Linked DNA regions of Cricetulus griseus. The protein of the gene in region 1 binds, or shares a complex with, the protein of each later gene. Links are inferred from orthologs where the notes say so. Each region holds a gene or a part of one and is shown in the gene's direction. Other genes may lie near its edges.

What was found.
Region 2: Gpkow (region 1) and Sf3b5 share a complex: the UniProt entries of both Homo sapiens proteins name them as parts of the minor spliceosome. The link is inferred for Cricetulus griseus from reciprocal best matches to the Homo sapiens genes GPKOW and SF3B5.
Region 3: Gpkow (region 1) and Crnkl1 share a complex: the UniProt entries of both Homo sapiens proteins name them as parts of the minor spliceosome. The link is inferred for Cricetulus griseus from reciprocal best matches to the Homo sapiens genes GPKOW and CRNKL1.
Region 4: Gpkow (region 1) and Rbm48 share a complex: the UniProt entries of both Homo sapiens proteins name them as parts of the minor spliceosome. The link is inferred for Cricetulus griseus from reciprocal best matches to the Homo sapiens genes GPKOW and RBM48.
Region 5: Gpkow (region 1) and Snrnp40 share a complex: the UniProt entries of both Homo sapiens proteins name them as parts of the minor spliceosome. The link is inferred for Cricetulus griseus from reciprocal best matches to the Homo sapiens genes GPKOW and SNRNP40.
Region 6: Gpkow (region 1) and Cwc22 share a complex: the UniProt entries of both Homo sapiens proteins name them as parts of the minor spliceosome. The link is inferred for Cricetulus griseus from reciprocal best matches to the Homo sapiens genes GPKOW and CWC22.
Region 7: Gpkow (region 1) and Bud13 share a complex: the UniProt entries of both Homo sapiens proteins name them as parts of the minor spliceosome. The link is inferred for Cricetulus griseus from reciprocal best matches to the Homo sapiens genes GPKOW and BUD13.

What each region holds. Positions count from the first base shown.
Region 1 is NC_048604.1:114,163,366-114,166,865, forward strand, and holds part of Gpkow (G-patch domain and KOW motifs-containing protein), read left to right. Parts: intron 1-1,134; coding exon 1,135-1,244; intron 1,245-2,394; coding exon 2,395-2,596; intron 2,597-3,500. UniProt on the Homo sapiens protein: RNA-binding protein involved in pre-mRNA splicing. As a component of the minor spliceosome, involved in the splicing of U12-type introns in pre-mRNAs.
Region 2 is NC_048595.1:275,868,412-275,870,775, reverse strand, and holds Sf3b5 (splicing factor 3B subunit 5), read left to right. Parts: upstream 1-1,170; 5' UTR 1,171-1,319; coding exon 1,320-1,580; 3' UTR 1,581-1,864; downstream 1,865-2,364. UniProt on the Homo sapiens protein: Component of the 17S U2 SnRNP complex of the spliceosome, a large ribonucleoprotein complex that removes introns from transcribed pre-mRNAs.
Region 3 is NC_048599.1:33,085,796-33,089,295, forward strand, and holds part of Crnkl1 (crooked neck-like protein 1), read left to right. Parts: intron 1-348; coding exon 349-507; intron 508-797; coding exon 798-964; intron 965-3,389; coding exon 3,390-3,500. UniProt on the Homo sapiens protein: Involved in pre-mRNA splicing process. As a component of the minor spliceosome, involved in the splicing of U12-type introns in pre-mRNAs.
Region 4 is NW_023276806.1:221,965,166-221,969,103, reverse strand, and holds the start of Rbm48 (RNA-binding protein 48), read left to right. Parts: upstream 1-1,138; 5' UTR 1,139-1,185; coding exon 1,186-1,296; intron 1,297-2,203; coding exon 2,204-2,394; intron 2,395-3,938. Other genes in the region: Pex1 (peroxisome biogenesis factor 1), read right to left, coding at 728-856. UniProt on the Homo sapiens protein: As a component of the minor spliceosome, involved in the splicing of U12-type introns in pre-mRNAs.
Region 5 is NC_048595.1:22,689,899-22,693,919, reverse strand, and holds the start of Snrnp40 (U5 small nuclear ribonucleoprotein 40 kDa protein), read left to right. Parts: upstream 1-1,221; 5' UTR 1,222-1,276; coding exon 1,277-1,420; intron 1,421-4,021. UniProt on the Homo sapiens protein: Required for pre-mRNA splicing as component of the activated spliceosome. Component of the U5 small nuclear ribonucleoprotein (snRNP) complex and the U4/U6-U5 tri-snRNP complex, building blocks of the spliceosome.
Region 6 is NC_048599.1:97,174,846-97,178,085, forward strand, and holds part of Cwc22 (pre-mRNA-splicing factor CWC22 homolog), read left to right. Parts: intron 1-1,313; coding exon 1,314-1,441; coding exon of another isoform or gene 1,442-1,445; intron 1,446-2,568; coding exon 2,569-2,670; intron 2,671-2,765; coding exon 2,766-2,983; intron 2,984-3,240. UniProt on the Homo sapiens protein: Required for pre-mRNA splicing as component of the spliceosome. As a component of the minor spliceosome, involved in the splicing of U12-type introns in pre-mRNAs. Promotes exon-junction complex (EJC) assembly.
Region 7 is NC_048597.1:158,021,263-158,025,267, forward strand, and holds the start of Bud13 (BUD13 homolog), read left to right. Parts: upstream 1-1,205; 5' UTR 1,206-1,320; coding exon 1,321-1,463; intron 1,464-3,865; coding exon 3,866-3,956; intron 3,957-4,005. UniProt on the Homo sapiens protein: Involved in pre-mRNA splicing as component of the activated spliceosome. As a component of the minor spliceosome, involved in the splicing of U12-type introns in pre-mRNAs.

The sequences.
Region 1 (3,500 bases):
AGAGCACTCTTCTCCTAGCCTCATACCTCCTCCTTCCTTTTTTTTTTTGTTTTTTTTGTTTTTTTGAGACAGGGGTTCTCTGTGGCTTTTGGAGGTTGTTCTGGAACTTGCTCTGTAGACCAGGCTGGCCTCGAACTCACAGAGATCAGCCTGCCTCTGCCTCCCCAGTGCTGGGGTTAAAGGCCTGCACCACCAATGCCCGGCTTATACCTTCCTCTATCATATCACTTATCTTTAATTAAATGATGGGTCAGTGGCTCCCCTCCCTCTGCATTCCCCATAGCCAATGTTTTGTTTTTGCTGTTGAGTTGGGGGGGTGGGTCTTACCATGTTGCCCGGGCTGGTTTCAAATATTTGGCTTTAAGCCACACTACTTTCTCATCTCATATATAGCCAGAGCTACTGGATAGTGCCACTGTGCACAGTACTTCTTTATTTTTCTTTATAAAATGTATCATATTTTCAGAATTTGATTTATTGTATGTCTTGACAACTACATCATAAGCCCTAACAGAGACTTTCTATTTTATTAGTTCCTTATCCTCAGCATCTAAAATAACAGAATAGGTCCTTTAAAAACTTTTAAGGCATATTTATTTGTATTTCATGTGTATGACTTCATGTGTATGCATATATGTATGTGCACCATGGCTCTTTACTGCCGAGCTCTCTCTCCAGCCTCTATAATAGGTTCTTTGTAAATACTTGTTGAGCTGGGTATGGTGGTGCACGCCTTTAATCCCAGCATTTAAGAGGCAGAGGCAGGCTGATCTCTGAGTTTGAGGCCAGCCTGGCCTGGTTGACATAGAGAGTTCCAGGACAGCCAGAGCTACATAGTGAGATCCTGTCTCCAACAAACAAAAACACTGGGGGAGTGGAGTACTAGAGCAATGGCTCAGAAGAGCACTTGTTGCTCTTGTAGACCCTGGGTTGAAGCCCCAGTACCCACATGGTACACATCCACCATGCCTCCAGTTCCAGGGCATCCAGTGCCCTCTTCTGACCTCCACTGAAACCAGGCACACACATAGTGTTCAAGAGCCAGGGGTGTAGGAAGTCACCTCATGAGTGCCAGCAAATACTGCAAACAGGGTCATCACAAAGCCTGACTCCCTTCTCCTGCCTGACCAATAGGTGCCAGAGGAAGCCAACTATGAGGCAGTCCCTGTGGAGGCCTATGGGCTGGCCATGTTGCGGGGCATGGGATGGAAACCTGGCAAGGGCATCGGCAATACTTTCAGTCAGTGAGTTTTCTGGGGGATTTGGGGGGTGGACAATGGGTATAAATAAGACCCCTGTGGTTACATTTAATCTAAAACCATCCAGGTGGTGAGGGAGGACATTGTCACCCTCACCAGTTCAGTAGTCACTCACTACTGTTTCAAACCCCGATTTTCACAGAGCCTTAGGTTCAAGCCTGTTATTGCAAAAGAATAAACCAAAAAGCAAACAACCTCAGATTTGCCTTCAAAACAGTAAGAAGATCCCACTTAAAGTTTCCTCATTGTGGATCAATTTACTCATCTGAAAAATGCAAATGGTAGTGCTGCCTTCACAGGTTTGTTGCAAGAGTTAAATGAAACTATACTCATGAGGCACACATGGTGGGGTTTAGTCCCTAGTAAGCAGAAACTAAACATGCTTACTCTTACTTCATAGACTTATAATCCCTTTGTTATGCTGGTGTGTAGCCCAGTGATAGAGGCTTGCCTAGCATGTAAAAGGCCCAGAGTTCCATCCCTAGGACTGAAAAACAAAATCCCTTTTCAGTTGTAAATCCTCAAAGAATTCTGAAGTCATTTGGTAGCCAAATATGACTATAATTGGTATTGAGCATTCAGAACTATTCCCCTTGCTCTGTATACTTACCATATGATTTCTTCTGTAGAAATGTTACCATATTTGTTTATATGAACCTAACTTGGCACTTGTAGATAGGATGGGATAGATAGTACATGCAACAAGTTAATTCACTTGAATCAAATGCAATTGCTTTTTGAGGGTGCTGAAAATGTAGCTCATTGGTAGAGGTGCTTATCATGCATTGAGGCCTTGGATTCCCCCCCTAACACAAGAAAAGAAAAGTTGGCATTTTGATAGCTCAGTGAGTTCTAATGTGATATCAGAAAGGGTAATCTAAATATAGATGTGGGGCTGGTGAGCTGCTGGATGGGTGAAGGCCTTTGCCTGTAATCCTGATAACCTCAGAATTCACATGGTAGAAAGAGAATAGACTCTCATACGTTGTCCTCTGATTTTCACATGTGTGTCATGGTGTACAAGCATACACAAATAAATAAAAATATAAAACTAAGGATTTCTGCGGTGTGTTTGAGTGCTGGCAGGAAAGTGTTGAAGACTTGTACTCCCACAAACCTGTGTTCTTCTCTGCAGAGTCGTGAAGCCCCGGGTCAACTCTCTAAGGCCAAAAGGCTTAGGACTGGGTGCCAACCTGATGGAGGCCAAGGCCTTGGCCTCCACTAGCTCTCATCACCCACCAAGACCAGATGGGGATCGAGAGAAGGATAAGGAAGGGTTGATGCCTGGAGGAGCTGTGGTGATCCTTTCTGGCCCTTTCCGGGGCCTCTATGGGAAGGTAAAAACAAACATATCCCTGAAACCATGGCAGGTAGCAGGGAAGATTAATTGGAGGGGCAGAGTGAGGAAGAGTTGTGGATAGAAAGGCTGCCAGTCAAGTCAGGTATCATGGGACATGCCTGTGATCCCAACCCTCCAGAAACTGAGGCAGGAAGATCACAAATTCAAGACCTGCCTGGATTACATAATAAGTGCAAAAGCAGCCTAGTAACTTTCTGAAGTAAAATAAAAATTTTCAAAGGATAGAGATTTGGCCCAGTAGTCAGAGGCACCTAACAGGAGAAACTAAAATCGTGAGAAAGAAGCAGGCCTATAATACTAGCACTTAGACTGAAGCAGAAGAATTTCCAAGAGTTCAAGGCCAACCTGGGATACATAACAAGAACCTTTTCCAAAAATAAATAAAAACACACAACCAATCACAATACAGAGTTGTGAAGCCCAGTCCCAATAGATACATGTACAAAACATTTCTGAACCCAAAGCTCAGACCATTGCAGAAAAGGAGGCAGAAAGATTGTAAGAACAAAGGATTGAGCAGGAAATTGCTGTGAGGTTGTTGTCTCTTAGCAATATCAGAAGCTACACCCATAAAGTCTCACCAACATGACTGCCCAAACGTGAACTGATCAAGGATGACACCAATGAACATGCCAGACTGGAAGGAGAAAAACCTGTGAGGTCTCAATCCCACACAAAGAACTGAGGAAAGCTGGGAATGGGGAGAGGTGGTCTTCCCCAGGGAGAAGCACACCAGTTGGTTGTTGAGTGCCAAACAGCCCTGAAAACACATACAGGTAGCGTTATATGGACTGAACAGGGTATATTTAGGGATATATATGTATATAAAATACATATATGTATGCAATAATAATTGGTAAAAAGGAGGCTATGAGCAAGGT
Region 2 (2,364 bases), on another chromosome or scaffold:
GCAACTCAGGGATGAAAGATTTATTTCATTTACTCTTCCGTATCACAGTTCATCATCTAAGGTAGGCAGGGCAGGAACCTGAAGGCAGGAGCCAATGCAGAGGCCATGGAGGGGTGCTGCTTAATGGCTTACTCTTCGTGGCTTTCTCAGTCTGTTTTCTTATTCAATTCAGGACTACCAGCCCAGGGGTGTCCCCACTGTAATAGGTTGGGCCCTCCCCTATTATCAGTCTCTTTGACTGAGATTGCTCTTTGTCCATTCATCAGATTTTTCTTTTAAAGAATACGATCTCCATCAAGCTATATAATATCCTCAAAGGATATCAGAAAAGAAGTACAGTATCTTTTTCTCAAGTAGTTTATACCTTTGTGAGGAGATACATAACCTCTAAGTTGAACATAAGGTGTAACCAGGCAGAAAAACAGAAGGAGAGAGTACTTGTCTTGAGACACAACTGACTTCCAGAAAATGATTGTAAGCAGCCTTAAAGTTAGGAGGTTGTTTGGTTGGAGGGCTCGGGCCCCTGGGTGGTGTGAGGAGTTGGAGCCTGGATTTTGATGTGGAAGACACCTGGTGTTGACACTCATCACCAAGCATTTAGGACCCAAAGAACTTTTCCCACTACCCAGATCCTAAGGGACAAAGCTGGGACCAAGGGCGGTCCGTGTGAGCTTCTAGGTACAAGAGATAGTTTTCCTGGTCACTTGTAGTCGTAATCGTTGGACACCATCCTACATTAGTCAGGCAAAAAAAAAAAAGAAGAAAAAAAAGGAAGGAAGGAAGGAAGGAAAGGAGGGAGGGAGGGAGGAGAAAGAAAGAAAGAAAGAAAGAAAGAAAGAAAGAAAGAAAGAAAGAAAGAAAGAAAGAAAGAAAGAAAGAAAGAAAGAAAGAAAGAAAGAAAGAAAGAAAGAGAGAGAGAGAGAGAAAGAAAAAGAAAACAAAAAACCAAACCAAAAGAAAAAAACACGCCAAATTCTTTGGACTACAAATCCCAGAATGCAACGCCGGAGTTAGAACGTGATCACCCAAGAGCCACTCAGCAGACCATCATGCAACGCTCTCCAAGTAGGCGGGCTCGCTGAGGGGACGGCCCAATGTTTCTTAGGCAACTCCAATGCCGCGGCAGGATTCACTTCCGCTTCCGCCTGGGAGAAGAGCGTCTGCGCAGGCGCCACAGTGGCGTCTTTCTCCCGCGCCTACACAGATAGAAGTTCCGTGTCGGGCCGGCAGCGGCGGCGGCGGCGTCTCTCAGGTTTGAACGCGGAGCGGGTAGCGTCGGGTCTGCGGCCTGATCTGGAAGCCTAGAGCGGAGCGGCGAGATGACGGACCGGTACACCATCCACAGCCAGCTGGAGCATCTGCAGTCCAAGTACATCGGTACGGGCCACGCCGACACCACCAAGTGGGAATGGCTTGTGAACCAGCACCGGGACTCCTACTGCTCCTACATGGGTCACTTCGACCTCCTCAACTACTTCGCCATCGCCGAGAACGAGAGCAAGGCCCGCGTGCGCTTCAACCTGATGGAGAAGATGCTGCAGCCCAGCGGGCCGCCGGCGGACAAGCCCGAGGAGAACTGAGGCGAGCGCTTCCCAGGCTCCCCCGCCGGCCAGCGGTGGGCCGGTCCTCCTTGCTCGGGCTTCTTCATCGTCTGTCACGCCTGGCCTGCTTACCTGTGGACGATTCCGAACAAGTCACCGAGAGACTGTCGGGACCCCCGGGAACTGTGCGGGAGGAGCGACCCTAGACCCGGCAAGCGAGGGAGAAGACGCCACGGGAGTGATGACGCGTTTCTAATGAGTCTGCCTTTCAGTAGTTGGTTGTCCTTCTTGCCATGTTTATAAAGTTTAGGATTTGTCCTATCTTTTGGTGTGGATTGCTGTGTTCCTTGGGTGGGGTCTGGGGAGGGTGCTGTGGACCAAGGTCTCAAGATGTTGCACGTTGCATCTGTTTTTCTTGAGAGTTAGTCTGTGTGTCTTCAGAAATGAAGAACGGATTTTTTTTTTTCATTCAGTGTTCACCAGAGCGTTTTCCAAAGGTTTGGGGGCATACATTATGCCAATTTGGAGAAAGGCTAAAATAGACCAGGGCTAGATGATGCAGGGAGATTGAGGAAGCTTGAAGAATTCGCAATTTTAAATACTATGCTTGTAATGCTAAGATATTGCGATGATGACATTTGAGAAAAGATTTTACGGAATCCAGAGAAAAACCGTGCAGAGCATGGGAAGTTGCTTACCATCTAATAGGGCATTCGTTGGTGTGTTTTAAGTTACTGAAGGAACACCAAAAAAGCAATGAGTCGCTGGGAGTGGCACACACCTCTAATCCCAGCACCCAGGAGGCAGAGGCTGAAGGATTTCT
Region 3 (3,500 bases), on another chromosome or scaffold:
ACTGGAACTATCTCTTACAGTCTCAGTTCTGAAGCTCTTCCTAGTTAGCCTGTTTGTTCCACCACACATTGCCATTTCTCCCACCACACATTGCCATTTCTCCCTCTGCTTCCTGTGCAGACCTTGACTTTTTTTTTTGCTTGTGACAGTATGAAATAATTGCATGCTTGTCTCTCTTTAAGATTGTACAATAACTTGAGCATGTCATTGCTTTTTCTCTTTTTATGACCAGAACCTGTCTCACGATGTATATCCAACAAAACAGTAGGGTATCGCAGCTAGTTTGAAGTGACTACTCTATGTCTTATAGATGCTGCTTTTGATGCTCTCAATATCTTATTTGTTAAGGGCTCGATCCATATACGAGCGTGCTTTAGATGTAGACTATCGGAATATTACACTCTGGCTGAAATATGCAGAAATGGAAATGAAGAACCGCCAAGTCAACCATGCCCGAAATATCTGGGACCGAGCCATAACAACTCTGCCACGAGTCAACCAGTTCTGGTAAGCCTCTGGTTGTACAAAGCAGCCTTTGGTGAATTAGAAAATTATACCACTTACTGTATATTATGGTTTTATGTGCAGTTATAATAATTTTATATATTGAACTTTACATTCTACTTTTCCTTAAAATAGTGTATTTAATGTCACATTATCTGTGAGTCATAATCCTGATGCTCCATAGCTATGTAAGTAAAACTTAAATGTAAACAGAGCACTGGAGATGTCAAAGATTACTTTTTCCTCTAAGTCATTTTGACCACAGCAGGCATCTTTGGATGATTCTGTATCAGGTACAAATACACGTACATGGAGGAGATGTTGGGCAATGTTGCGGGTGCCCGGCAGGTGTTTGAGCGCTGGATGGAATGGCAGCCTGAGGAGCAGGCCTGGCACTCCTATATCAACTTCGAGCTGAGATACAAAGAGGTGGAGCGGGCCCGCACCATTTATGAACGCTATATCCTTTGAATGAGGTATAAGTGGTATGTGGTTGTCATGGAGGTCTACCTCCCAAAAAAAGATGTCACGGTCAAGACATGTTGCCATTAAGGTGACACTGAAGGTCAAGAAGGCAAGTTTCATCACTTTCACAATTTCTTGTAGGGATAGAAATTGTTCAAATAAAAATCTGTGGTCTGGGTGATTTGAGTCTTTCCAGTTACATGGGTTCAGTTTTGGGTTTTGTTTTTTGTCTTGTTTTTTGTTTGTTTGTTTGTTTTTGCACTAAATCCTAGCTGCTAGAACCAATGGCCTATGATTAACAAAGGCACTGTTAATGGAGGTCAGCCAGAGATTCATTGCTTACTAGTAAGTGACTCCAGGGTCATTTAGTTCCTTGATCCTTTGTGTCCTTTATATATAAGAAAAATTAAAACTAAACATGGTAAAGCTTAGTGTATACTCATTGCTGGGGCACTTGCCTAGTATATTTTGAGGCCTCAAGTTTAGGCCGCAGCATTATAGAAAATACAACAGCCAGTTGTGGCAGACGGCTGTTAACAACTAGAAGATGGTGTTTGTGAAAGCACTGTTAGAAAGAGCTCTGTAATCCTCATCACCTAAAGGCACCTTATTTGCAAATCGACACACTTGTTAAATTTTATTTGGAATCTCCAAATTAATAATTACAATGCTTTAGCAGCCATTTGTAAACATGTATAGGACAGTGAACATTTTGTGTCCCTCAGCATGCAGTTCCTAGCTGACGTCCATTTCAGGTAGGGTGTGTGTGTGTGCGCCCAAGTGTTAAGGCAGGAAGAAGCTTTCTCCCTCTCTGAAGCCAGTAGGATAGGATTCTGACCTCTGTAGTGGGACAACCTGAGCCTAGTTGTCTGATGCTCATGAATAGATGGCTTAGTTGATACAGTGCTTGATGCACAGCATAAAGACCTGTGTTTGGATCCCTAGCACCCACATAAAAAGCTGGGCTCAGTAACACACATCTATAATTCCAGTACTGAGCAGATGGAGACAGGAGGATCACTAGGGTTGTTAGGCCAGTCAGTCTAGCTGAATAGGTAAGCTGGCTCAGTGAGAGGCTCTGTCTCAAAAAATAAGTTACAGAGCAACTGAATAAGATAAGTGATTTCAGCCTCTGACCTCTTACACTCATGCACATATGTGCATGTGTGCACACACATAGGATGTACAGTTTTTAGAATTTAAAACTATGGGCCGTGGGAGGTATGTCCACATCCCTCCTAGGATCGGTGGTTTGGCATTCAGTAATTGAGAGTTCTTACTGGCTTTACAGAACAGGTACAAATGAGAGCCTTATTGTGCAACATTAAGATCTTTTGTTTTGTTTTGTTTTGTTTTTGAGACAGGGTTTCTCTGTGTAGCTTTTGGAGCCTATCCTGGCACTCGCTCTGGAGACCAGGCTAGCCTCGAACTCACAGAGATCCACCTGGCTCTACCTCCCCAGTGCTGGGATTAAAGGCGTGTGCCATCAATACCTGGCTGCAACATTAATATCTTAAGTTGTCTTATTTGATAGTGGCTTCACAGAGGCTTGAGAAGCACTTGGTTTGTAGCAGACGATATTCTAAACACTTAGTAGTGCCAGTACTTATGAAAACCCTGCAGTACAGCAACTGCTTCATTCTACAGGTAAGGAAACTGAGACATGAATGAGTAAATAAAGTAAGTTGACTATGGTCTCAGGTGGTGATGTTGAAAATGACCCAGGAAATCAGCCTCAGAACTGATGCTCTTAACATCTTTGGTACATCTGAATGTATTAATCACTGGACATTATTGGCTTCTTCAAGGAAGGTTGATGTGCCCTGGTAGTTAAATGGCAAGTGAAAACTTTCTCCTTAGCTTTGGATATCAGCTTTCTTTTTGTGGCAGACTGTTCTACTCACTATGGGTAGACTGCTGTTATTGAGCATTTAATGTAATAGGTGCTTTTTATTGACCATGTTCTTTTGGCCAGAAAGAGCTAAGTTTCATAAACATTGCCTCATTTTATAGAGGCAGCAGTGACGGGTGAGGTTGGTACAATTTTTCACTTTAACACACTAAAAAACTGAGACGGATGACTTGCTGAAGATCACATGGCTTATAACCAGGTTGAGGGTTTTCTTTGACTTCAGGCTTCTGTGTGTACCCACTGCAGAGTCAGCACTGAAGGCAGAGCAGAATGAGTAACATAACCCTGACCTCAGAGGCTGGGGGGTGGTGGTTAGACTCCTTGGTATGTGCCCCCTCCACTTGTATTTTGATTGTTGGGGTTTGGGAGCTTAGTGTGGTTTGGGGCCTATTGTTTGGGCACTGAGCCTTTGTAGAAGCTGTGCATGGGCTCTAGCACTGAGCTCACCTCAGCCTCCATTATTGGCTTAGCTGTGGTGTCTTGCCTGCTTTCCTTCACTCCCCTGCACTCGTGCTGGTGCACCCTGCTGTGAAGAACTGGATCAAGTATGCCCGATTTGAAGAGAAGCATGCTTACTTTGCCCATGCAAGGAAAGTCTACGAGAGAGCAGTTGAGTTCT
Region 4 (3,938 bases), on another chromosome or scaffold:
CAGCTCAAGAGGAAAGAAAGTTGAACTACTTGAAGTCATTTCAAACTCTTGGATACCTCTTTGATGAACCAGTAGTCTGGCAGCATGCCAGATTTTAGAAGATTTCAAATATTCTAATTTTCGATTCCCCCCCCCCCCATGAGAACCTATTTGCCTCTCACTCTTGGTTAAGAAAATCCGCGTGCTGTATTTCCACCTTGGAACACCATAATGACGGCATCCGGACAGTGACAGTTCGCTGAGGTTCCAGTAATCCTGTTACCCCTGTGTAAAGGTGTGAGGTGTGAATAATTCCATCGCCTGCTCCTCCCCTCCCCGCACACCCCTGCGTAGTTCTCTCCTAAGCCGGGAGAGCTGCCGTCCTATTAACCTTCTTGGGCACGAACTGGAAACCTCCGTAATCTACACAGCGGCTGGAAGGAGGCCTCTGTGGCAGGACGACGCTTTCCGAAAGCCCGTGGGTCGGAGACCTCTAGAGCTCTGCAGCCGAGAGCGAGGCTGCTTCGCAAAGAATCCCAGACTTTTCAGTCTGCTTTACCCGAGCTGCGGCGGAGGGCTGGGAGGGAAGCCCGGGGCCGGGGCCGGGGCCGCCCGAGCCGCGCAGGGGGTGGGTGCAGCGCCGCGGGGGGGGGGGGGGCGCTCACACGCTCCGCGCCGTCGGGGACGGACCAGGCCCGGCCCGGGCGGACCCCGGCGGCGCCCGGCCCCCACCCGGACAGCGCGTTACCTGCAGCAGGTGCAGCTGGGCCACGAGGCGCCGCGGCAGGCGGAGGAAGCAGTCCCGAGCGTTCGTGAAGGCCACCGTCACGACCGCCCCGCCCGAGCCCGCAGCCGCCGAGCGATCGCCGCTCCACATCGTCCCGGCCCCGCTCCCCCGAGCCCGCCCGCTTCCCGCGCAGGTCGCGGCGTCCGCCGGAGCCCGGGGCTGGCGCTCGATCGGCCGCTCGATCGGCCCCGCCCCCTCGTCGCCGGCCCCGCCGGCGTCACCCTCCCGTCGCTCCTCCGAGACGCGAGGGGGCGGCACACGGAGGACCGAGTTCGCGCTCCCAGGAAACGATCGTCGATGGCGTCGATTGCCCGGCCAATCCAAGCACGCGCCAGCCACCCTGCCCTCTCATTGGCCACGGAGGAGGAGGAGCGCGTCCGGCGGATGTTGTTGTGGCGCTGGGGGTCGCCGCTGGCAGCATGGCGTCCAGTGACGGGAAGCCGGGGAGCGTTTTCGATCACCACGTGCAGACGGCCGTGTGTGACTCGCGGGCCAGGTACCGGGAGGGCCGACGCCCTCGCGCCGTCAAGGTAGGGCGGCTGCGGTTTCCTCGCGTTCCCAGGCCCCCGGGCGGGGGCGGCCTTGGTGAGGAGGGCCTGACGGGGACGCCGCCACAGAGGGGTCTCTCCCCGCGGGAGGCCCCGGGACCGACCGGAGGTCAGCGCTGCGCTCCTCGCCGCTCCGCGCCGTCGAGCTGACAGGAGCGCTTCCTCAGCGCGCGCACTGGCGCCCGCTGACTGGGGTAGCCAGGCGCCCTCAGGGGGCCTGTGTTAGCCGTTAGCCGGGAGCGACAGTTCTGCGTGTGTGTTTACAGGCGGAATTGACCAGAGTATTTCTTCTTGCTTTCAAAGCTCCTTTTTTTCTTCTTCTTCTTCTTCTTCTTTTCTTCTTCTTTTTTTCTTCTTCTTCTTCTTCTTTTCTTCTTCTTCTTCTTCTTCTTGCTTTCAAAGCTCCTTTTTTTCTTCTTCTTCTTCTTCTTTTCTTCTTCTTTTTTTCTTCTTCTTCTTTTCTTCTTCTTCTTCTTCTTCTTCTTCTTCTTCTTCTTCTTCTTCTTCTTCTTCTTCTTCTTCTTCTTCTTCTTCTTCTTCTTCTTCTTCTTCTTCTTCTTCTTCTTCTTCTTCTTCTTCTTCTTCTTCTTCTTCTTCTTCTTCTTCTTCTTCTTCCTTCTTCTTCTTCTTCTTCTTCTTCTTCTTCTTCTTCTTTCTTTCTTCTTCTTCTTCTTCTTCTTCTTCTTCTTCTTCCTTCTTCTTCCTTCTTCTTCCTTCTTCTTCTTCTTCTTCTTCCTTCTTCTTCTTCCTCCTCCTCCTCCTCCTCCTCCTCCTCCTCCTCCTCCTCCTCCTCCTCCTCCTCCTCCCAGAGCGACAGATTTGCCATAGGCTTGCTTGTCTGCGAGGTACATTTATTGATTGAGGGTTTTTTGTTGTTGTTGTTTTTTAGGTATACACAATCAATTTGGAATCCCAGTACTTATTAATACAGGGAGTCCCTGCAGTGGGAGCCATGAAGGAATTAGTCGAGCGATTTGCTCTATACGGTGCGATTGAACAGTATAACGCTCTAGATGAATACCCAGCAGAAGATTTTACAGAAGTTTATCTCATCAAGTTTGTGAAATTACAAAGTGCAAGGTGTGTACAAATTAAGCAGTAGCTATACCCTGTGTTCCTGTTGCTGTCATTTCGGCCCTGGGGTTTTCCCAGACATATCCATGTCACACAAACACTCATCACCCTAGATCTTCCCGTTTGTTTGTTTGTTTGTTTTTGTTTGTTTTAGAGGGTCGTGACAGGGTCTCTGCATAGCTCTGGCTGCCCTGGAGCTCACTCTGTGGAACCAGGCGGGCCTCAAGCTGAGAGAGCCTGCTTCTGCATCTCCAATGCTGGGATTAAAGGTGTTTATCACCACCAGAGGTCCTGAGTTCAATTCCCAGCAACCACATGGAGGTTCACAACCACCTTGAATGAGATCTGGTTCCCTCTGCTGGCATGCAGGCACATGACTGTATACATAATAAATAAATAAAATCTTTAAAATTTTTTTTAAAAGGCTGACTTTACAAATACAAAGCTGTTTCCATCGTCTCATATCTGTGCTTCACAGTTTTTGAACCAGTAGTACGGTAGATTCAGAATTACATTTGAAGCAAATTTCCAGCCCTATGTCCTCATTACTTGGTAGTGTTTTAAATCCTGATAAGCACATTTTTCTTCTTCTTAAAATCCACACAGCAAAAAGGTCTGCTTCTTGAGGTTCCCTGACTGTGGATGAAATGAAATAATTTATGTACTCCCTATTAGGAGTAAATATTAGCAATGGCAGTTCTTATTGTTAAAGTTCTATGCTAATCACCTTCTTTTTAATACTTACATATGACATAATTCTTGTATTCCAATAAGGTGAAGTCAACAATGCTTTATTTTGGGGGGAAGGAGTGTGAGTGTGTGTGTGTGGGGGGGGCTAGAGGTCAATGTTGATTGCCTTCTTCAGTGTTCCAACTTTTATTTATTTATTTATTTGAGACAAGTTTTAATGTGTAGTCCTGGCTAGCCTAGAACTAGCTAGGTAGACCAGGCTAAACTTAAAACTTAAAATTTAAATTTCCTTCTGACTCTACTAGGTTTAAAGGCATGTGCCACCACACTGCGCTCTGTTTTATTCATTTATTTATTTGAGACAGGATCTCTCACTGAATTTGGAGCTCATCAGCTAGACTGGTTGACTGTCAAGTACCAGTGATCCTTGTACCTCGCCCTTGCCAGCACCAGGATTGTAGGCATACAGCAGTGCCCAGCTTTTATGTGGATGCCAGGGATTCCAACCTAGGCACTGAGCTTATGCAAGTGCTTTTGTGACTGAGCACTCTCCCTAGTTCATGTCAGCCATTTTTTTTTCTTTTTAATTAGTAACCTGATTTAAAGTGTATCTTTGTCTGACTTTTGCTATTGATGTAACTTCATAGTAGAAAACGGCTTCAGATTCCCTGGAGCTGGAGTACAGGGGGTTGTGAGCCACCCAAGGTAGGTGATGGGATTTGAATCTGCTCTTCTGCAAGATCAGCAAGTGCTCTTATCACCAAACCATCTCTCCAGCCCCTCATATTTCTTTTATATGCTACTTAGCCCACCACTAAAGCATTTGACTTCAAAGGGCTGTGTGCCTTTCTCTCCAGTTG
Region 5 (4,021 bases), on another chromosome or scaffold:
GCAAGCCTTCTCCTCCTCCACATCCCACGCCCTGGAGGGGAGACAAAATTTTCATTGGTTTCCTATTAATTGTAAAGTTAAAGCTACAAATTCCTGCAAATCTTCATGACCCCCAGGTTATCTCGTACCATAACCCCCTTCAAGTGCTCTCTCAGCATACTGGCTCTTCGTGCCTCTTAGTCATCTTCCCAAATGATAGGGCACTACTGCACACGCTGTTCTGTGAAGAACGTTCTGCCTTCTTCCTCTCTTCCCCGAATTAGAACTGTCCGATCAAACGGCAACAGCTCAGGCATCTTTTCCTCTGAAAATCCTTCAAGCTCATTAGTTACTCACAGCATGAGGCATCGCTCTCTTCGCTAGTCTTCCAATCAACTGGTGAGATTAGTTTAAAATGTTTCCCACACACACCCCAAGAGACACTAAAGCCCTGAAGTTAGAGAACATGTTTCTTCAGTGTCCTCCAACGCTCTGCACGATAAACGCCACTTGGATCGCTTATGAGAAGGCCTGGTACACAAGCATGGACCTTAGATTTCTCAACAAAATTATGCTTTGGAGGAACCATCGGATACTTCCTCCATCACTGTCTGTCTGGGGGCATAAATTAAGCCCTTAAAAAAAGACGGTTGAACCAATGGTATAAACTAAGTCCGCCTCCTCAGCCAAACCCGGCACTGAAGCCGGGAGGCCGGGAGTCGGGCATCACGCTAGTACAGCGCTGGAAGCAAAAGCGGCGTTGTGCAGAGCAGCTAGCTGTCAAGGGACAGCGGCCTTAGGGTTCCAGTCCTGCGGTCAGAGATCCCAAAGCTCCGCTCTAGCCTGCCAAGGGACTACTCTTTCCAGAACGCTCCCCTACCCCCACGGCAGGACCGTCAGCCGAGAATGCTAGGCTCGGGCCCATCACCTAGTCGCAGATTAGAACAGCTACCGTCCTCGTTCCCCGCACACTTACTCCGCGCCAGCTCCTAGCCTGGCAGCCTCTTCATCGCCAAGAACGCCTAACCTGCTCCGCTCGTTCCCAACCCACAATGCACAGCGCGCCTAGGGGGGACGTCACTACACGCCCCAATCCCAGAGCTGAGCCCTCGTGGCGTCATCAAGAACGGACCAATCGCAAGAGCGCATTCAGAGGGCGTTGCAGAAGAGAATGTTGGGAGCCGATTGGTTGCTCCTCTCCGGAAGTTCTGGAGGAAGAACTCAGTTGGAGCCAATTGCGCGGCGGCTGCGGCCGGCGGCGCGGTCAGTGGCGGCGCCGAAGAGAGTGGCTACCGCCATGATCGAGCAGCCAAAACGCAAGGGCCCGGAGCTGCCACTGGTTCCTGTCAAGCGGCCGCGACATGAGTTGCTGTTGGGAGCCGCGGGGGCCGGCCCCGGAGCCGGACAGCCGCAGGCGACTCCGGGAGCTTTGCTGCAGGCGGTAAGTGGGGAGGCATCCCTTCTTCGGCCCTCCGCTCCTCTCCCAATAGACCTTCCCGGCGCTGCGGGAACGGAAAGACAGAGAAGCTGAAGTGAAAGCAGGCCTCTGTTTACATACGTGCCGTGTGTTCTGCGTCTGTTTCATACATGTGTCCCTGTCGGACGCCTGTTTCCAGCCTTTGAATCGCCCTGTGAAGTAGCAGTGAATCATTTAAAACCTTGGCCTCAAAAATCAGGATCCAAAGTTCCGCATCCTAAATCTTCAGGGATTCAGCATAAAATAAACATTCAGAAAAGTTTGTAGAGTGGACGAATGAATGAATGAATGAATGAATGAATGGGAAGGGAAGCAAGGGAAATGAATGATACAGGCTCTCTCTGCCATCTGGTACAATTTACTTTTCTCTTTTTCTGATTTTGCATTATTAACAGTAATTAATATCCGTTGGCTCGAGTGTTAGCTGTTTTGCATGAGAAATTTCCATTAATCTTGGTAACAGCCCGAAAGGAGCTGTTATTTTGCATATAGGGAAAGCAAACTTCTTTGAGTTAGAAGCTAAGCTCCTAATGGCATTTCTTGTAAAATAGTGATCATGCCCTCACTACTATGATATTAGTTTCAGATACGGAAATAAATGTGCCTCCTGTCCCAACTCTCAATTCTGCTGGTGTGGTCATTAAAATAAGTAAATAAAATTGGCAAGGGGTGTAGGGCTGTAGTTGCATCTTTTCAGAAGGCTGACAAGAAAATTTTGAGGGAAGGAGTTGGAGGCCAAGCCTGCAACTCTGGGTTGACAATCCTACTTGTCAAGTAAGAATAAGTGTACCACCAGTAATCCTGAAATGTCTTTGGTAGATTCCGGTGTACTAACTTACTTTTTAACACAGCAAGGTCGCTGACTCAAAAATAAGTAAATAAAAAGCTGGACACACACAAATTTACACTCAAGCTGCTGAACAGGAGGGTCAAGGGTTCCAAGCCAGTGTAGGCTATTATAGCAAAACTCTTTTGTTGAACGGAAGAGAACTGTTTACCTGAAATCCTTACCTCCTAGTCAAACTTTTATGTCATCTGGCATCATTGCAGGTGGGGCTTAATTAGTATTTCTGGTTTTGCCTTTGAATCAAGGATCAATTATTAGTCTGGTAGCCAGGAGAATCACCACAACATTAAATCACATGATTCTCTGCTGAAAATATTGTGTTGGCTATTTCATTCCAAATTAAAGAAAAATCAAATTCTGTGTAATAACCCCTTTTCTATGCTCATGTACCCGTTTTCTAGCATGTCATCCTTCTCAAATAACACCAGCCTGTGTGCTGTTAATTCTGTTGCTGTTGTTGCATATGCTGGAATATTACTCCAAATGCCCACATGTTTAACTACTGGTTCTTTCAAATCTTGGTTCAGATGCCTGTTTTCAGTGGGCTCTCCTGGCCACTGTATTTTAAGTTAAAGTACCCTGTACTCTGGTACTCATATTTTTTTCCATTGCATGCAACACTAGGTGTTCTGCTTGTTTTTTGTTTTGTTTCCTTTCCCATTCTCTCACTCACTTTCCACCAGAATGCACAGTTCATTGTTTTATTGAGTGCTGTTTCCCCAGTGCCTAGATATATTAGGTTTATTTTTATCCGTATGTCTGTATGTATGTGTGAGTACCCTCATAGGCCAGAAGAGATTGTTGAATCCTCTGAACCTAGGGCTACAGGCACTTGAAAGCTGCCTAGTGTGGTACTGGGAACTGAATTCGGGACCTCTGGAAGAGCAGTAAGTGCTCTCTAACTACTGGGCCATCTCTGTGGTACACATGTGTTATTTTCAATAATTACACTAGATAAATATGCTCATGGTACATTATTTACATTACTTTTCATAGTTAATACATGATAATAAATATAAGTTAGTACACTGGAACCTACCAAAGAGATTTCAGGACTATTTTTGGTAGTACACTTATTTGCCAAGTAACACTGTCAGCCCAGGGTTGGAAGACTTGCCAAACAGGCTTAGCGTCCAAGACCCTAATCAGAAACTGCTTTGCCAAACCAAGCATAGCAATTCACACTTGTATTATTACCAGCACTCAGGAGGACTGAAAATTTAAGACCAGCCTGAGCTACTTATCAAAGCGCTGCTCATACCCCTAAAATCTATTTTGCATAGTAAGTTGTACTATGCAGGGTTTTTCAAAGGCTAGGTGGGTGAACTAGTCTGAGAAATGTTGTTCCTGCACTCCCAGAGCTTCATTTATTTGGGGAAAAAGAAGCATGTCAGCAATGACATGAGGAAGGAAACTTGAGGCAGCACTAAACCTAATGGAATACTGGTGGGGAGATGGCTGCTACTTAAGTTTGACTGTTAAAGAAAGACTCTGGGGAGGAAATATTTAAAAGGAGCCCAATAGCAGGAGAGCTCTGTGGGAGACATTTTTCCTTGTTAAGATCCTGAGGTATAAGTGAAGTCAGCATGATTAAGCAGTCAGAAGTTGGCTGTGGAACAAAAGCAGAGTTGGGGAGGAGAGTGGTATGGTGAGCATATGCTGGAATGTCCAAAGGTTTATCCAGTGAAAGGCAGGAGTTCTGTGAGCAGAGGTGCCAT
Region 6 (3,240 bases), on another chromosome or scaffold:
ACCCCCTATCCTGGTGGCAAGTGTGCCTCAGAGTTACTGTCCATATTTCCTGAGTGAGTAGCTTTTCCAAGGTTGCTCTTAGTTAGATGCAAGGAAAGGAAAGGATTGTTCTAGAAGGCTATGGTAAGCGGCTGCTTTGCTTAAGCTATACGGAGGAGATCCTGTGATCGTGTTGAGAACAAAGAAAGGCATTCTGAATGGAAAAATATGCACCGGATTGAACATTAACCCCATATTTATTACATAATCACTGTTCATTCGAATGTTGTTGTTTGCTACCACCTGCATGTCCAGTCACAATTCTTGGTAGTGGGCAGTCAATCGTATGTGGTCCCAGCTTTTAGGAATGTTACCATGTAAGAAGAGAAAAGTTAAGTCTGGGAGGGAGAGGGAGAAGGGACTTACATGTGAAACTAGCTTGTTCCCTAACTAGAACTAATAAATAAATTAAAAAAAAAAAAAGTTAAGTCTATGGCAGTCACACACCATAAAAAGTCTCTTACTCCAAGTAAAGCAAAATTAGAAGAATTTTAATACAGAGAAATCACACCCAAGAAGGAAAAGAGGAAGACAGCATTGTAAAATACCACAAACTGATGGTAGAATGAGCTCCACCCCTTAGGAGTATTGGATGTTTATAGTGCTTAAGTCCTGAGTATGTCCAGCTACACTCACTGGACATTTTTGAGACAACCCAGCAGCTAATCAGAATCACCCTTTGCTTCATTTCCCCTGTTCTAAAAAAGAAAGCAAGTTCTAAACAATGGGTTAAAATAGGCTTCTAGAACACAACCCATAAAAGCTAGAGGTTTTGTTTTTCGATTCATCTCCAAAATTTGTGTTCACAAGTTAGTTTGTAAAAACTGTCATCTAAGTTTTCAGGATACATCATCCACAATTTTTTGTCTTTTTTTTTTTTGTATATATGTGTGTTAAACAAAACTATAGCTTAATGCTCTTGGTAGCATTTACCTAGTCCCTTGTATACATCACGTTTTGCTGAGGGAAGTTCGAGAGCAGTCTTTACTTTGGTGTTATATGCTCAAGACAGGATATCGTCTCTGCTATAAAAAGCACCTTCCTCAAGAAAAAGAACGATACTATTTCTGTACCATCTTACCATTGGAAAGTTAATATAGCGAAGCAGTCTTCCACTTCGCCAAGAGATAATACATGTCAACATAGGGAGGGTACAGAAATGCTGCTGAAAGATGAAAATTCCTAGTCATTTTGAGAGGACTTAACTGGTCAGCTACTTGTCCTTGTCTTTTAAAAAATAATAATATTTTTTTATTCTCTCTTTGAAATTTCAGGTTCTTGAATGTATAAAGCTCAGTGAAGAAACCACTACGTCATCTAGTAGAATTTTTGTCAAAATATTTTTCCAGGAATTGTGTGAATACATGGGTCTTCCTAAACTGAATGCAAGGTTAAAGGACGAGTAAGTTGACTATTAACAGTTTAAATTTAGTCTTCTCGTCTGTGGGCGTGCCCATGTTAGCAGAGACAGTTGTCCCCTTCACAGTGGAAAGCCCTCTAGGAATTTGGGTAACATCAGCAGCATGCTGCACGTTACAGGGCATGTGACAATAGGCACTGTTCGGGGTCTGCTTCTAGGGCTGTTACATAACCCTTTTATTCAGATTCCTAATCATCAGTAAGACTGGCTCTTATTCCATTCTATTAATGCTACGTGTTATCCCAGTGTTTCATTTCTCTGTCTTGCTTAAACGTTTCCGAAAGACCTGCATTGCGTCTGCAGCTTTCTCTGACCTAGTCCTTCACTCTTTGGTTTCATATGATAGGTACTTTATCAGGCTCATCCCCCTCCTCAGTAGTCTAAACTCTAGTCTCCTCAGTATCACTAAACTTGGGATGCTGCTGCTTGTTCGTGCTTCTTTACCACCTCAACTACAAAAGCAGTGACCCTCTTTTAGTCTGTCTTACAAATGCTTAGTCATCTTCCTATAATTTTCCCTTTTTATGAAACACTCATTGCCTAATCCCTACTCCTTCCCAGTACTTTTATATGATTTAGATTGCATACTTATACTAACGCCTTTAATTTTTTCTGTGCATGTGCACAAAATATATTTGTGCATATATCCATGTACAAAAGTGTATATGCCATCTTTATACTCTGTGTGCATCTAGTGTCTATATAAAAAATTTCTAAATCTGTATTGTATAATTAGAGAAATCAAATCTAAGGGCCAATGAGATGTCTCAGTAGGTAAAGGACACCAAGTCTGAAATGAGTTGGATCCCTGACACACACATGGTGAAAGGAGAGAACTAACTCCTTCATGTTGTTCTCTTACCTGTGTACACATATACACTAAACTGTAAAGAAATATTTTTTATACAGAAATGAACTTCATTGAACTGTTCCTTGTTACTGATTATATTTAGGTAGCCTAACCTGTATTATGTTTAGGTAGCCTAACATGTAATCGCATAAAGCACTTTTTGATACTTAACTTACTAGTTTAATATATAGAAAATCTGGTAAGTGGGTATAGAAGTTTTTATTTTTCTCTATTTTTTTCATTCATTTTTTCTTTTCAGAACTCTACAGCCATTCTTTGAAGGACTGTTACCTCGAGATAACCCACGGAATACCCGCTTTGCCATCAACTTCTTCACTTCCATAGGTCTTGGAGGTTTAACGTAAGGGTCATTTACAGAATTTTAGGTTTAGCTGGAAAAATTATCTTGCAAGTACCCTAGAGTCATAATGTAACAATACATTGTATTTCTGTTAGGGATGAACTGCGAGAGCATCTGAAAAATACACCCAAGGTAATTGTAGCACAGAAACCCGAAGGCGAGCAAAAGAAACCGCCTCTGACCTCTTCGTCTTCAGCATCCTCCTCGGAGTCCGATTCCTCAGAGTCCGACTCTGACAGCAGCGAGAGCAGCTCAGACTCTTCCAGTGAAGGGAGCGACTCCTCATCCTCCAGCAGTCAGAGCTCTGCCTCAGGTATCCAGGCTCCTCTAGACTTTAGCCTGCATGTTTCTAACAAGTCATAGTGTTTGTAATAAGGGCCAGTCTTAGTGTTCATAATGAGGGCTGGTCTCAATTGCTGCTTATTTATTTTGGCCATCTATTCAAAACATATTTGTTAATAGAGATGATCGTCTGTCACTCACACAGTCTGCAGTGGGTTATATCTATGTTTTAGAAGCCTCATAAACAAAGCTGTGGTTCAAGTGATGCCTGAAGTATCATTCATGTCT
Region 7 (4,005 bases), on another chromosome or scaffold:
AGAAGGATAACAAACTCAAGATCATCCTGGGCAACTTAGCAAGGTCATGTCTCCAAAATTCAGAAAGGGGTGGGGGAAGTAGTTCTGCTACAGAACTCTTCCTTATCATGTGCAAGGCCCTGGGTTCAATCCCCAGTGCTTGATGGAAGAAGAAACAGAATTGTGGGGGTCAAGTGAAGATTCACCAAACACTTAACCCCCTATAAGAAATAGAATCTTCCTGGCTTTCTTTTCTTTGCCACATTGACAACAATTCCTTGTCATTTTTATTGGGAAGATTGTATACCATTTTCTTGAGAGATAATACCAAACGTGGAAAGGTCAATACAGGTTTGATGAGACCAATCCACTTTTCAGTCACAATATTGGGGGTGGGATTTGTTTGACTTCCCCTAAATGGCACTGTTCCAGTATACTGTCTACCAAAAGGTATTTATACCAATAAAAATAACCGAAATAGTTCTACTGGTGGTTTATTGTGGGCAAAAGAGCTGGGGGTCATCAGTAGGTACACCAGCTGGGTCAATCCAGCTGTCTTCCCACACCTGATCGTGGTACTTCCTGGTTCTTCGTTTATAAGGTCACCTCCACCAAGTACATACAATTATTTATAAAGAGCTCCTCATCTCCTTGGTGCCCTAACTCTTAATGGGCTTGGGAGTCCTCTTCCTCCTGCTCTGGGTTGGCATCTACCTATGAGTCCTCAAGGGTATCCACCAGGCAGCTTCACCAAGTCCCTGCTTTTGTAAATTCTTTCTTCTTTCTTCTTCTTCTTCTTCTTCTTCTTCTTCTTCTTCTTCTTCTTCTTCTTCTTCTTCTTCTTCTTCTTCTTCTTCTTCTTCTTCTTCAATAATGATAATAATAACTGAAATAAACTAATTGTGCTAGGCATTTGGCACAACATCCGTTATTAAAATGCTATTCAATAACTTGCCCCCAGTGGCACAGTTACGATCGGTCTCGTATTCAAATAGGTGCTCTGATCTCCTGAGTTTCGGTTCTTCCCTACTCCGGTGCAGTCGTCAGGGCAGGACTAGTTAAGTCGGCCTGTGACCTCTTTGCTGGAACAGTCCCGGCTGAGAGCGTTGCACGGATGTGTCGTCACAGGAAAGCAGAACGGCCCTACGATGCATTCATGCACCTCCCCTTCCCCACACCGAGCCTGTAAAGACATTTTTTAAGAGTCATGACACCTATCAGCCCCAGTAGCTCCATAAGGGCCACTCCTAGGGCTTCCGTTTCTGGCTCCACCCCCATCCGTTTCCCGTAGAAGAATTTTTGTCCCCAACGCCGAGCCGTTGCCCCGCCCTCGCCGCTGCCATGGCGGCAGCTCTGCCGCTCTCCAAGGCTGAGTATCTGAAGCGTTACTTGTCTGGAGCAGATGCTGGCCCGGAAGGAGGTCCAGAGTCGGTTCGGAAGCGGCGCAGAAAACGGCCGAAGCCAGGAGGCGCCGGTGGCAAGGGGTGAGTGGACTGATGGGGCATCGCGCTGCCCCTTTGCGCCCTCGGCCGCAGCTCTTCCTCCTCCCCGCCCGCGCGGCGCTGCGAGCGCTGCCGACCCAGGCCCGGCCCCGCTGCTCCCGAGCCGGCTCTTCGCCGCCGCCTGCAGCTCAGACCTCGTCCTCTGAGCAGTGTCTTCCATGCGTTAAGGCCAGCTAGAACTTAGAACTTCCTTACTGTTTTCCCGCCTTTGTAGCCTTGTATCGTCCCTCGAACAGATTGAAAAGTCGTGCCCTGAGAGTAGTAGAACTAATTAAAAGCCCCAGTGATTGCGGTTTTTTTTTTTTAATGTTAGAATTCAAAAATCTGTTTCTGGGGCCTTCAAAGTATTAGGAACTGATCTGGAACCAAAGATCTAAGTCCTGTTATTCTTGCCTACTACTAACAGTAACAACTAATATGGGTACAGTTCCTATCATGTGCCTGGCCTCTTTCTAAAAACTTTGACCATATAACTTTCAGGACATTGTGGTGAAGTAGACATTGTTTTAAATAATATACTTTCCAGGTTCGAAAGAGGGATGTGCTGAGACAGATTTCGGATGCAGTGACTTGGCCACTGGAATCTGGAAAGGTTGGGATAGGAGATCCAACATCAGCCCACAGGACAAAAGAAATTATAGACTTTAGAGCAGCGACCCTAAGTTTAGCAGCTTGCTAAGAAGGTACTATTTTGGATACAAGGTCGAAACTCTGGAAGCTAATCCCGTTCTTATACACCATGCCTTGGGTCTGCTGCTTGCTAAGAGCTTAGCAGCTTAGAGAATATAAAGTGTGGTTCACACCCCTCTATGGGGGAACCATCGTGAGCTGACAGTATTATTCTCATATTTCTACTGAGAAAATTCTGTGGCCCATTGAAGTGGGTAGACTAATTCCCTAATTCCCTCTTTGCCCAAATTTACCTTCATTTGGGACTTCAGCATGACATCAATCTTTGTGGTGTTACTAGTTGAGCCTATATTCAGTTAAGGTATGTGGTAAATTCAGTGTGGTTCTTTTTTTTTTTTTTTTTTTTTAATTTTTCGAGACAGGGTTTCTCTGTGGCTTTTGGAGGCTGTCCTGGAACTAGCTCTTGTAGACCAGACTGGCCTCGAACTCACAGAGATCTGCCTGCCTCTGCCTCTGGAGTGCTGGGATTAAAGGTGTGTACCACCAACGCCCAGCTCAGTGTGGTTCTAAGAAGGAGCAATGCCATTCAGGGAACATGGTTTAAGCTTTGGAACAGCACTAACTGGAATCTGAATCCTAGCAGTGCTACTTTATAGCCTGGGTCATCTTGGGCAAGAGAGTTCACCTCTCTGAGACTCGGAGTCCTAGTGGTCCTGAACACTGCTGTTTGTCTGAAATGGCTGTTGTGATTAAAGATGTAGCATGTGTTCCTGGTTTTTCAAATACCTCTTTGCAGCACAGATCACATCCATTGGATGCCATCATCTTTCAGCAGTTGGTACACTGGTTACTCAAGTCCACAGGTACTTAAGTTCCTCCACACAATGATACAGTATTTGTGGGTAAACTATTCATATCCTCTTTAAATTGTCTCTAGGCTACTTACAAAACCCATTGCAACTTAGGTGGTGTACTGGCTGGATTTGTGTGTCAACTTGACATAAGCTAGAGTCATCAGAGGAAGGAGCCTCAACTGAGGAAATGCCTCCATGAGATCCAGCAGTTAGGCATTTTCTCATTTAGTGATCAATGTGGGAGGGCCCAGCCCATTGTGGGTGGTACCATCTCTGGGCTGGTGGTCCTGGTTCTATAAAAAGCAGGCTGAGCAAGCCATGGGGAACAAGCCAGTAAGTCGCACCCATCATGGTCTCTGCATTAGCTCCTGCCTCCAGGATCCTGCCTGTTTGAGTTCCTTCACTGATGAACAGCAATGTGGAAGTGTAAGCCACTTGGGAGGCAGAGGCAGGTGGATCTCTGAGTCCAAGGCCATCCTGGTCTATGGAGCAAGTTCCGGGATAGCCAGGGCTGTTATATAGAGAAAACCTGTCTTCAAAAACCAAAACCAAAAAACAAAAAGGTGGACAGTGATGGAGTGAACTGACAGTAGGAGTCCATATACACAAAGACTGAGCCATACTTTTGAACTTTAAAAGCCAAAAGGTGAGATGGCCCAATGCTTGCCAACGAGCCTGACAGGCTGAGTTCAATCCTCTGAACCCACATGGTGGAGGGAAACAACTGACTCCTGCAAGTTGTCCTCTGACTTCTATATGTATTCTATGACACACACACACACACACACCCCGTCACACATACACACACGATAAATAAATGCCAAAAAACAATAGGTAAGTGTACATAGGCCTGTGTCCCAGAATGAGTTCTTTTTTGAGGCTTTTATTGTTCTCATCTAGAATGCGGATTGTTGATGATGATGTGGGCTGGGCAGCTATTTCTACCACTAAGCCGGAAAAGGAAGAGGAAGAAGATGGAGATTTGCCTGTGGTATGTTATCTTTTGGAGTCTTGTCAGGACTTTGAAATGATCCAAGCAT